2 linked regions of the Oryzias latipes genome follow. The protein of the gene in region 1 purifies or fractionates together with the protein of each later gene. This does not show direct contact. Links are inferred from orthologs where the notes say so. Each region holds a gene or a part of one and is shown in the gene's direction. Other genes may lie near its edges. The genes, in order: rnf114 and parp12.

Region 1 (4,261 bases):
GTCCACACGTTACCCTAATTATATGGCGGGACATAAAACAGGCAAACTGAACCGACAGGTGACTTATGAAAACGAGCTGCAATGTTTTCATGCCAGAGGAGAGGTCCAGGAAATTGGACGTCGTTTCCTGGTAAATAAATCGGGTGGCTGTTCCAGTTTTTTTGCCCTGGCATTGGATATCCAGTTAGCTAGCAAGCTACATCAACATGCCTTTTCACTGCGCATCAGTTAGGTCAGCATCGTTAATTAACACGGGTGATGTAAAACAACACATCCACTGTAGAACGTGTTCTAAAAGACTTTCGACATCCTAAATAAAACTGGCACTGACCCCCAAATGAGTACAAGCTAAGCAGTGAACGCCCATTTAAGCGCAGATGGCTAGTTAGCAATTGACTCTGGGCGGGCTAGCAGGGCGTTCCATTGCTACACTCACTCAGCTATTTCACGCTATATAAGAGAAATTACCCAAACAGATAAAATAACAAGCCATTTCTCTTATCAACAAACATGTTATTACGATACTGTAGGTGTTACGAGTCATAACCAACCCAGAAACACAATCAAATCGTTATCTTACCTTTTCATAAGTGCTAACCATCGCTAGTTACGCCTCCTCAGCTGTTGAAAATTCATTTTTAGCGGAGTACGCATGCGCAAAATCTTGACAGTTCATGACCACTAGGGGCCCACGTGTAAAGGGAGGGGATTCAGAGCCCACACTGACAGTCATTAGTATTAGACAAAACCAACAAACAGATGCACATAATAAACCCTATAGGTAGACCGTCAGTCATTAATCATTAGACACTGCAAACGCTAGTTTTTTTAGACGCTAATTAATTTCACCACCTAAAGTCACCCACAATAAGGAAGTGTTGATTTGGATCACAATAGTACAAAGGCCAATAGTTTGGTTTATATTTATGTTTTTAATTATGCAGATAAAATATTTACTGGTTTAATCAGAGGCCAAACGTAACAATACCAGGCTGCATTCTTCGATCACCTCACCTGCACCTAAAAAAGATGATGGATACGGACATTATTCTAAATTCCCCAATTACTGACAATGACGTTAGAAAACGAGGACGATTACATTCTCTTTTGAATTGAAAGTTATATTTTCCAGTCGCCGAATGACTGCCTTAAACTTAGTAGAACTTGGAGGTGGTTGGATTTTACAGTTATGGTGGAGAATTTCCGCCATAGACCTCAAGTTTGAGTCAACTGCTGCACTGCCAGACAGAATAAATAGAACTGCACGTAGAGCAGCCTCTGCTCATACATGCAGCGGTGGCTCCGCCCCACGCCGTAAAAAAACAACCAAAACCCAGTGACGTTGCTATGGGAAGGGTTGCTTGGAACTAATGCAGTGAAGAAAAGAAATAGAAATGGCGGTGCGCGGAGGATTTAGCGCTGCACAACAGAGAGAAACCACTGCTGACGGCAGCAACGACGTGTCAGATTTTATGTGTCCAGTTTGCCTCGAAATCTTTGAGAGACCTGTCAGAACACAATGTGGACATACGTAAGTATTTCGCCTTATTTTGACCACCCTCCCCTTACTGAGGCTCAGCACCATCGATGAAACGATACCAGTTAAAAACAATGAAGGGAAATGCTTGATCTTTTAACGCATTCTGGCATTAACAGAATGCCAACGTTAATATTCTTAGATTCGCTATGAGCTAAAATTCTGTAATGTTGTCTTTTTCTGCGTGTATATATTTGGCAAAACCTATTCTAGCCTGTTAAATCAGTTTCAGTTTTGTTTACATCAAAGAATAGGCTTTATTAGGGAAATGTAGTTCATAAATCTTTTGCAGTTACTCGAAAGACTAATGTGACGGACTACAAGTCCCTGCGCCCCCTTGAGGTGGGGATTTCCATCGAATTTACCGGAAGCTAAAGTAAAAAATAATTGTCTTTGAGAGCTGTGTGGGTATTAAATAATTCCAACTAATCAATTATATTTATGTGAGGATTTTGTTTAAATATTTGTCTTTTTATTGTTGTTATTTCTTTCTACCTCTTGGCAGATTCTGTCACAATTGTTTGCAAGAGTGTTTGCGTCCTCAAAAGCCCGTATGTGCGGTATGTAGGACTACAGTTGGGCCGTGGACCAAAGCAGTGGATCTAGAAGCCCTCATCCAGTCATCAATCTCAGCTTGTAAGGGATGTGGAGTTCAGGTATACTATGAGGCAACCGTTTGTTGTACGTAATTAACCACACAGTTTCAACTTACATTTATTAATGAATTCTTCTTTTGCACAAGATTGTTCTGTCTCAGATGAGGAGCCACACAGCTGCCTGTTTAAAATACCAGGACTATATTGAGGAAGGGGTGAGGACAAGTGTCCAAAGCCAGCCTGCTGCTGTGAGGTAAGGCACAACAAAATCAAAAACATCAGGTTGTAGTCATAAATAAGTAACAAAGGTTTTCATGTTATTTTGTTTTTACAAAGTATGTGCAGTTACAACAATGAAAGAGAAAAAATAGAAATTTTAGTTGACAAAAACCCTACAAGGATAGAATCATATAGAATCAGGTACATTGGATGCTCAAACCACTATTGGTGCACATTTTAATCATTGAATGTGGTTTTTATTTGTATGCTTTTGCACAGGTTTCACAGCCACAGTGGAATTAGTTGTCTATGAAAGGTCATTACTTATATTTACATACCTACCAATTATTTTCATTTGTACGTAGATTAACCCCTCTCCTCAAGTGTCTGTAAGTCCATAACCATCACAAGACGTTGAATGATGATTCATTGTTCACTACCATGTGTCCAGGACACAGATGCCTTCTGGGTAAATGGTTTTGTCTCCATTGTATAGAAAAGGGGGGTCAATATTTGACTGCTTTTGTTCATTTATCTAGGTGTAGAAGTGGGAGTTGAGAATAGAGCCATTGTAGGTACCATTACTATTCGCCCTGCAATAACCGTTCGGGGTCCCTTCGACTGAGGATGACGTCACACTACGGTAGCACCACGTGGACAAACTACATAGCATCCAGATCTGCTCGGGCTCTACATATTTTCATTTCACATTTCCTTTTGTTACATAAAGTTATTTTCCCTCGTAAGTTGTGTCTGACATTATCCTTTGTAATGTTTATGGAGAGATTTTGCCACAACCCACTTTGTAAAAAGATCTGTGGTTTTTAGAATGAACCTGCTGCTCCACACAAGCGAACCATGTCTCTGAGCAGAGCAGCTGGAGTCTTGTAGCTTCGTGTTTGCAGGCAGGGAAGGTGCTTTGTTAAAGTGTGCGGTCCGGAGAAGGGTTCGGAACACAGTCCGTTCGGCTGCAATGCACTTCTATGGTTGTATCGTAATTTGTCCAGACCAATCACTATCTGAAACGTCATCGGACCAATGGACAGCCAATCACATAATGTGACGTCGGCACTAGTTGAAGGACCCAGAAAGGTTATTGCAGGCCGAATGGCTGTGGTACCTACACCGTCAAAAATATTCCTGCTCTGTTGGAATGAAAATCATGTCTCCCATCCTCACAACCTGTATTTTATTCTTTAAAGTCCTAAGACCAGTCTCTAATTAGTAATCTTCTGAAAAAGCTTTTTTGGCAAAATGGTGATGAAAGCCCATCTTTAGACTTCCCTTGTCTTAGGCGTGACAGAGCAGGGTATCAGGATCATGCTATTGTCAGAGGACCTAAATGACTGTGATATAACCTGAAGAAAGTCTTGAGTCATGGGTGAACCAGTAGGGGATTTTGAATATTCTCCCAAAGCAGTTGACTATGCACCAACGTCCGATTTGGCAGAAGATGTGGAATTTTACAAGCAGAGGTCAAAACATAATGTAACAGTATAAATGGAAGCACCTGCAAAGGGCCTGCTTATAAGGTGTCTACTGCACTTTGACAGACCCAACTATTATATATCCAACATTAAAAAAAAGCTTCTTCGGAGTAAACATTCTCAAGGCCAGTAATTGTGTCTAGCAGCTTGTTTAAAGGTCAAGTTGTCCTTGATTGTTGGTTTATTGAACAACAAACAGAGGAGGATTTTGGTTTTGTTTCACACTGTTTGAGGTCTGATCATCTACCTGCGCTGGCAGAAGTGACGACCGAAAAGTGTACTATAGTTGGTACGAAGTGATGACCTTAAAGTTCCTCTCCAATAATCTTTTGATCCATTGTGAAAGCATTTCCAGTGCTCTTTTAATTACAATCATGCTATTTTTAGACTAAATCAAAAATCCTTGGTCATATTTTCTGTAG
Region 2 (4,541 bases), on another chromosome or scaffold:
GCTGCGTGAACAGGAGCCAGAGGTTAGCTGGCGGGTCACGTCCTGACCTTCCTGCCGTCGATGATCCGGTCAAACTTCTGCTTCAGCTTCTCTTTTTCTTGTTGCGTCTCTTTTACTTCCTGCTGAGCGATGTGGAGTTTTTGTCTGAGGGTCAGCATCTGTAAGGAATGGGATTTAGTTTACCGTTTAAAGACCCACTCTGATGAAAACTGGGTTTTTAACGTGTTCATGGAGCATTTTCTGTCATGATGGAGGACACGGATAAAGAAAATTAAGATTAAAATGGCATTTCTGAGTATTTCTTCGTTCAAATCTATGTGAATCAGGAGCGGACGAAAAAATGCAGAAACTATCTCCTAGAAAAAGGTTTTTTTTTTTTTAAATTTCGGCTAAAAGCGGCGTAATAATGATTAAAGACGACTTTGAAAACAGATCAAAAAAGAAACAGGAAATAAGTTGCTCTGCAGCTACAGACTAACAAGAACAATCAAGAAAAACAAATCTGCAGTTTTGAGTCCTAAAAAAACGAATAAATCCGGTTTGAGAGTTTGCAGAGGTCACAACGGACCGACAACAACCATCAAATGGGTCATGATGGTCGGTCAGGACCGCCATCAAAAAGCCTCTCACCCCATCAGCCGTCAGACGCCGCGCTCCTCCAGTCTGGAGCTCCGGCTGCTGCTGCTCCTGGGGCTCCAGCAGCTCCTGGGGATCCCGGCGCTCCATGAAGCGCTCAAACATGTCGCTCTCCCCCCGAAGAATCGCATTTGAAACTCTGTGGGACGTTTTAGCACAGGCGTGTACGAGGTTGACAGAAACAAACACTTTATTTCACTTTTATTGACTTGTAGGATATAAGCCTCTGGCATCTCGTTTTCAATGGGGGGGGGGGGGCACTTTTTTATTTCAAAATAAACGTTACAGTAGTATATTCTTTATTTACAAGCATTTCTCACTGATTGTTGTTTCTTGGCAACAACCCATATAGGGATGGAAGCTCATAATGTTAAAGTCATCAAATGAGCATAAATATGGTATAAAGTTGGTAAAAATTTCTGAAATCGCAGAAAAGGACATTTTTTAAATCACAGTCTTTAAATAAACGAAACGTTTTTACCGTAGCTGTTGAATCTGCTCGTGAATTAATGTCGTTGTCCCGTTTCTTTCCATGGTCTTCGCTTCCTGCGGTTGCTAAGGTGAAATAACCTGCCGGTTTGGTTGCTATGGACGTCCGTCTACGTCATGACGTAAACAGCGTCCTAACGTAAACAATCAGAACGGATTGCTTTTATATTTAAGTGACATGTGTTAAAATTGTGTTTTTTTAACCAACTCCAAAGTTATATATTTGTCACTAAAGATATTTATCGTAACTTTTTTAAAGTGGGCGGGGCTTCAGTTGAGGTGGTCACCTTTCTCATCAGTTTAGGTTTCGTTTTAGTTTCTGCTCTGCAGACCTCACAGCTGATGCTCCGCTGACACCGGGGACCGTTTCCTTCACGATGACGTCAGACATCACCGCGGCGGTCGTGAAGCTCCTGAGCGACCACCACGGCAGTCTGGACCTCCAGCGGCTGGAGCAACAGCTCCGCCGCCGCGCGGGCTCCTTCCCCGCGTCCGAGCTGCGCGCCGCGCTGACGGACGAGGCTGTGGTCGCCGTCCGGGAGGGCAGGCGGCCCGCGGGCCGCGGCCAGCTGGTGGGCCCCGACAGCCTGCTGGTCCTGAAGACCCCGCTGCGGCTGTGCCAGGCGAAGAGCGGCGCGTGCGCGGGCGCGCGCTGCGAGCGCCTGCACCTGTGCAAGTATTTCGTTTCCGGGAACTGCTCGTTCGGGTGAGTTTCGCTCTGCAGGTTCTTTGACCCAGAGTTCCGGTCCGGTTCGGTTCGATTCGATTGAGTCAACAGTTTCCTTCCAGAGAAAAACACAGAAAAGCTTTAAAGTTTTTTTTTTTTCTTTTTAAAGCTTTGAAGTTTCAAGTTTTCATTTCTGAAGAAGTGTCGTCATGTGGGCGTGGCTTCCAAATGAGTTTCGGAACCATTTTCTGGAACGATTTAGCTTTTAAATAAATAAAAAACCCTCAGTCCTTACATTTCATACTTCAGTTCAGTTTGGGTGTATCAGAATAGAAAAGAATATTCCGTTTAGTTTTATCAATTTAGTTTTTTTAGGTACATTTTTTTATTCATAAATGTCGTTTTATGACAAATAAGCACAACTTTTGTGTTTCAAAAACGATCTCCTGCTTTTCTTTTTATAAATCCCTTTAAAAAATACAAAAAAGAAAGCTATAAATCTCTTTAACTGTTTCTTGGATTATCTGGATGAGTTTTTTATTTTTAATAGATTTAGTTTATTGCTTCTTTTAGTTTGCTTTTATATGTCTATCTAGAATCTTCACAGAGTTTCCAATTCATAAGATTGAATGTCTTATTTATTTTAATAACTTATAACTATACTTTATTATATTATTTATATTGTTTTCATTTACTGCTTTGACTTTGTTCTAGTTTTCTGTTTGTAAAATCCTTTACTGCCTTCTGTTTTTGGATTTGAATGTTCCAAAAATGCTCTGTAATTTTGAATTCTGTCAATTAAAAAAGAAAGAAGAAGAAACTACTGTCGCCATGGATACGATGACTCAGGAAGCACTGGAGGGGGGTGCATTTTCCATGTGTGACGTCACAGCTCCATTGTTTTGTTTTTTTGCAGTCAGTGTTGTGAACAGAGAAAGACACAGTTTCACTTCATCTGCTTCTCCTCTACACCCCCCTCCTTCTCTTTGCTCCTCCTCTTGACCTCCGACCTCAGTCAGCATCCTTTTGATTTCATGCCCCCTCCTCCCCGCAAATTGATGACGTCACTGCAGGAGAAAGCTTGCGGCCAATATGTCTTTTGAGGCCAAAATCCACAAAAGGCATGTCGGGGAGATCCAAAGGAAGTTTTGAAATTATTATGGGATGGCCACAGGATCTACGTACAACTTGATGGACAGTTTGCGGCAACGTGCAAAAATTTAGCAAGTTTACACATTTATGTACAAAATGGGAAAAGAAAACTTTTGTTCAGTCGATCGTCACAAAATTCCACACGCCACCACGCTAAGTCTACAACCCAAGTTTTGTTGACCTTTGACTTTGGGAAGAGTCCCCCCCCATCTCGGATTTTCCTTAAAAAATCCCTTTTAGTACCTTCTAGAAATGTAAACTCCTCCTAGGGATGTTGTCGACCACAGGAAGTGGAGGCGGGATTTAGCCCATTTAGGGAGGCGGTAGGCCCCGCCCTGCTGAGAGTTTGCATTTCCATTTGAATTTTGACCCACAAAGAGCACAATGCTACGCAAATGTAAAGGGACCAAAACCGCACAGCGTTTTACAATGAATGCTATGGATTTTAAGGAACTTTAAAATGAATCTAAAGCAAACCATTTATTGAAATGCTGGTTTTAATACTGTATAGTAAATTTCCAAATGCATTTTCAATTCAATTATGACAAAAAAAACATGCTAATTTGAAATGCAATTGATTTAATTATTTATTTTTTAACAATTGTCATATTGAAATGCAAATTTGAATACTGAATCGCATATCCCTTTGAATTATGACTCCAAACAACTTGAATCGGCCTCTGCACACCTGTGGATTGGACCCCAGGTGTGGTGGAGCAGACGGGCGATTCAAACTCCAGGTCCAGATGTCTCTGGCCTACATTCAGCTGATTACCTGCACCAGGCGTGTTGTTCCCCATAAAGAGCAGAGGTGGTTTGATAAGAAGCAAAGCCTCCAGGACTGGAGTTTGACAGCCACTCATGTAAACCTGCAGGGAGGAGCTCCTTCAAGAACCAGAGTTTGGTTTTTAACGGAGAACGCGCTTTCCTTTCCAGGCACTCGTGCAAAAACTCGCACAGCCTGGCCTCTCCACACAACGCTGTGCTGCTGCAGAGATTCGGTCTGGAGGAACTGAGTCAGAAACAGCTGTTCCAGCTGCTGCTGCAGAACGACCCTTTCCTGCTTCCTGAGGTAGGTGTCACGACCTCGAAGGGACGCAGAGGAAGTCGCCGCCGCCGCTTCGTGACGCCAATATCGTCCTCGCTGCAGGTGTGCTCCCATTACAACATGGGCGACGGTCCCTTCGGCAACTGCAACTTCACCACCTCCTGCACGAAGCTGCACGTCTGCAGGCACCACCTCCAGGGGGACTGCCGGTTCGGCGGCTCCTGCAAAAGAGCTCACGTCCTGGACCAGCACGGACTGAAGCTGCTCCAAGGGTTGAGTCCGGAGAACACTCAGAACCTTCACCGCATCTACAGGAACAAATTCATCATCCTGAACCAGCAGAGTGCTGGAGTCGCAGGGAGTCTCTCCTGTAAGTGCAGACGTTACTGCTTTCACATCGCCATGGCGACGCACGTCCAAAAAGTCTACGTAAACCCGTGTATGTGACCGTCTCGAGCTTCTGCGTCTAAAACCTTTTAAAGGGTCTCTATCCTGCTTTTCTTAAGCCTTTCAGAGTAAACTATATCCATAGATATGATCATATATGAC

Evidence for each region.
Region 2: the proteins of rnf114 (region 1) and parp12 purify together in Homo sapiens (affinity purification with mass spectrometry; 3 studies listed by BioGRID and IntAct, counting the BioPlex papers as one, with this or other methods). This does not show direct contact. The link is inferred for Oryzias latipes from reciprocal best matches to the Homo sapiens genes RNF114 and PARP12.

The regions. Positions count from the first base shown.
Region 1 is NC_019865.2:15,131,983-15,136,243, reverse strand, and holds the start of rnf114 (E3 ubiquitin-protein ligase RNF114), read left to right. Parts: upstream 1-1,309; 5' UTR 1,310-1,394; coding exon 1,395-1,531; intron 1,532-2,042; coding exon 2,043-2,193; intron 2,194-2,279; coding exon 2,280-2,386; intron 2,387-4,261. UniProt on the Homo sapiens protein: E3 ubiquitin-protein ligase that promotes the ubiquitination of various substrates. In turn, participates in the regulation of many biological processes including cell cycle, apoptosis, osteoclastogenesis as well as innate or adaptive immunity.
Region 2 is NC_019864.2:30,384,567-30,389,107, reverse strand, and holds the start of parp12 (poly [ADP-ribose] polymerase 12), read left to right. Parts: upstream 1-1,474; 5' UTR 1,475-1,502; coding exon 1,503-1,831; intron 1,832-3,880; coding exon 3,881-4,016; intron 4,017-4,094; coding exon 4,095-4,362; intron 4,363-4,541. Other genes in the region: ccdc113 (coiled-coil domain-containing protein 113), read right to left, coding at 48-158, 631-775, 1,118-1,170.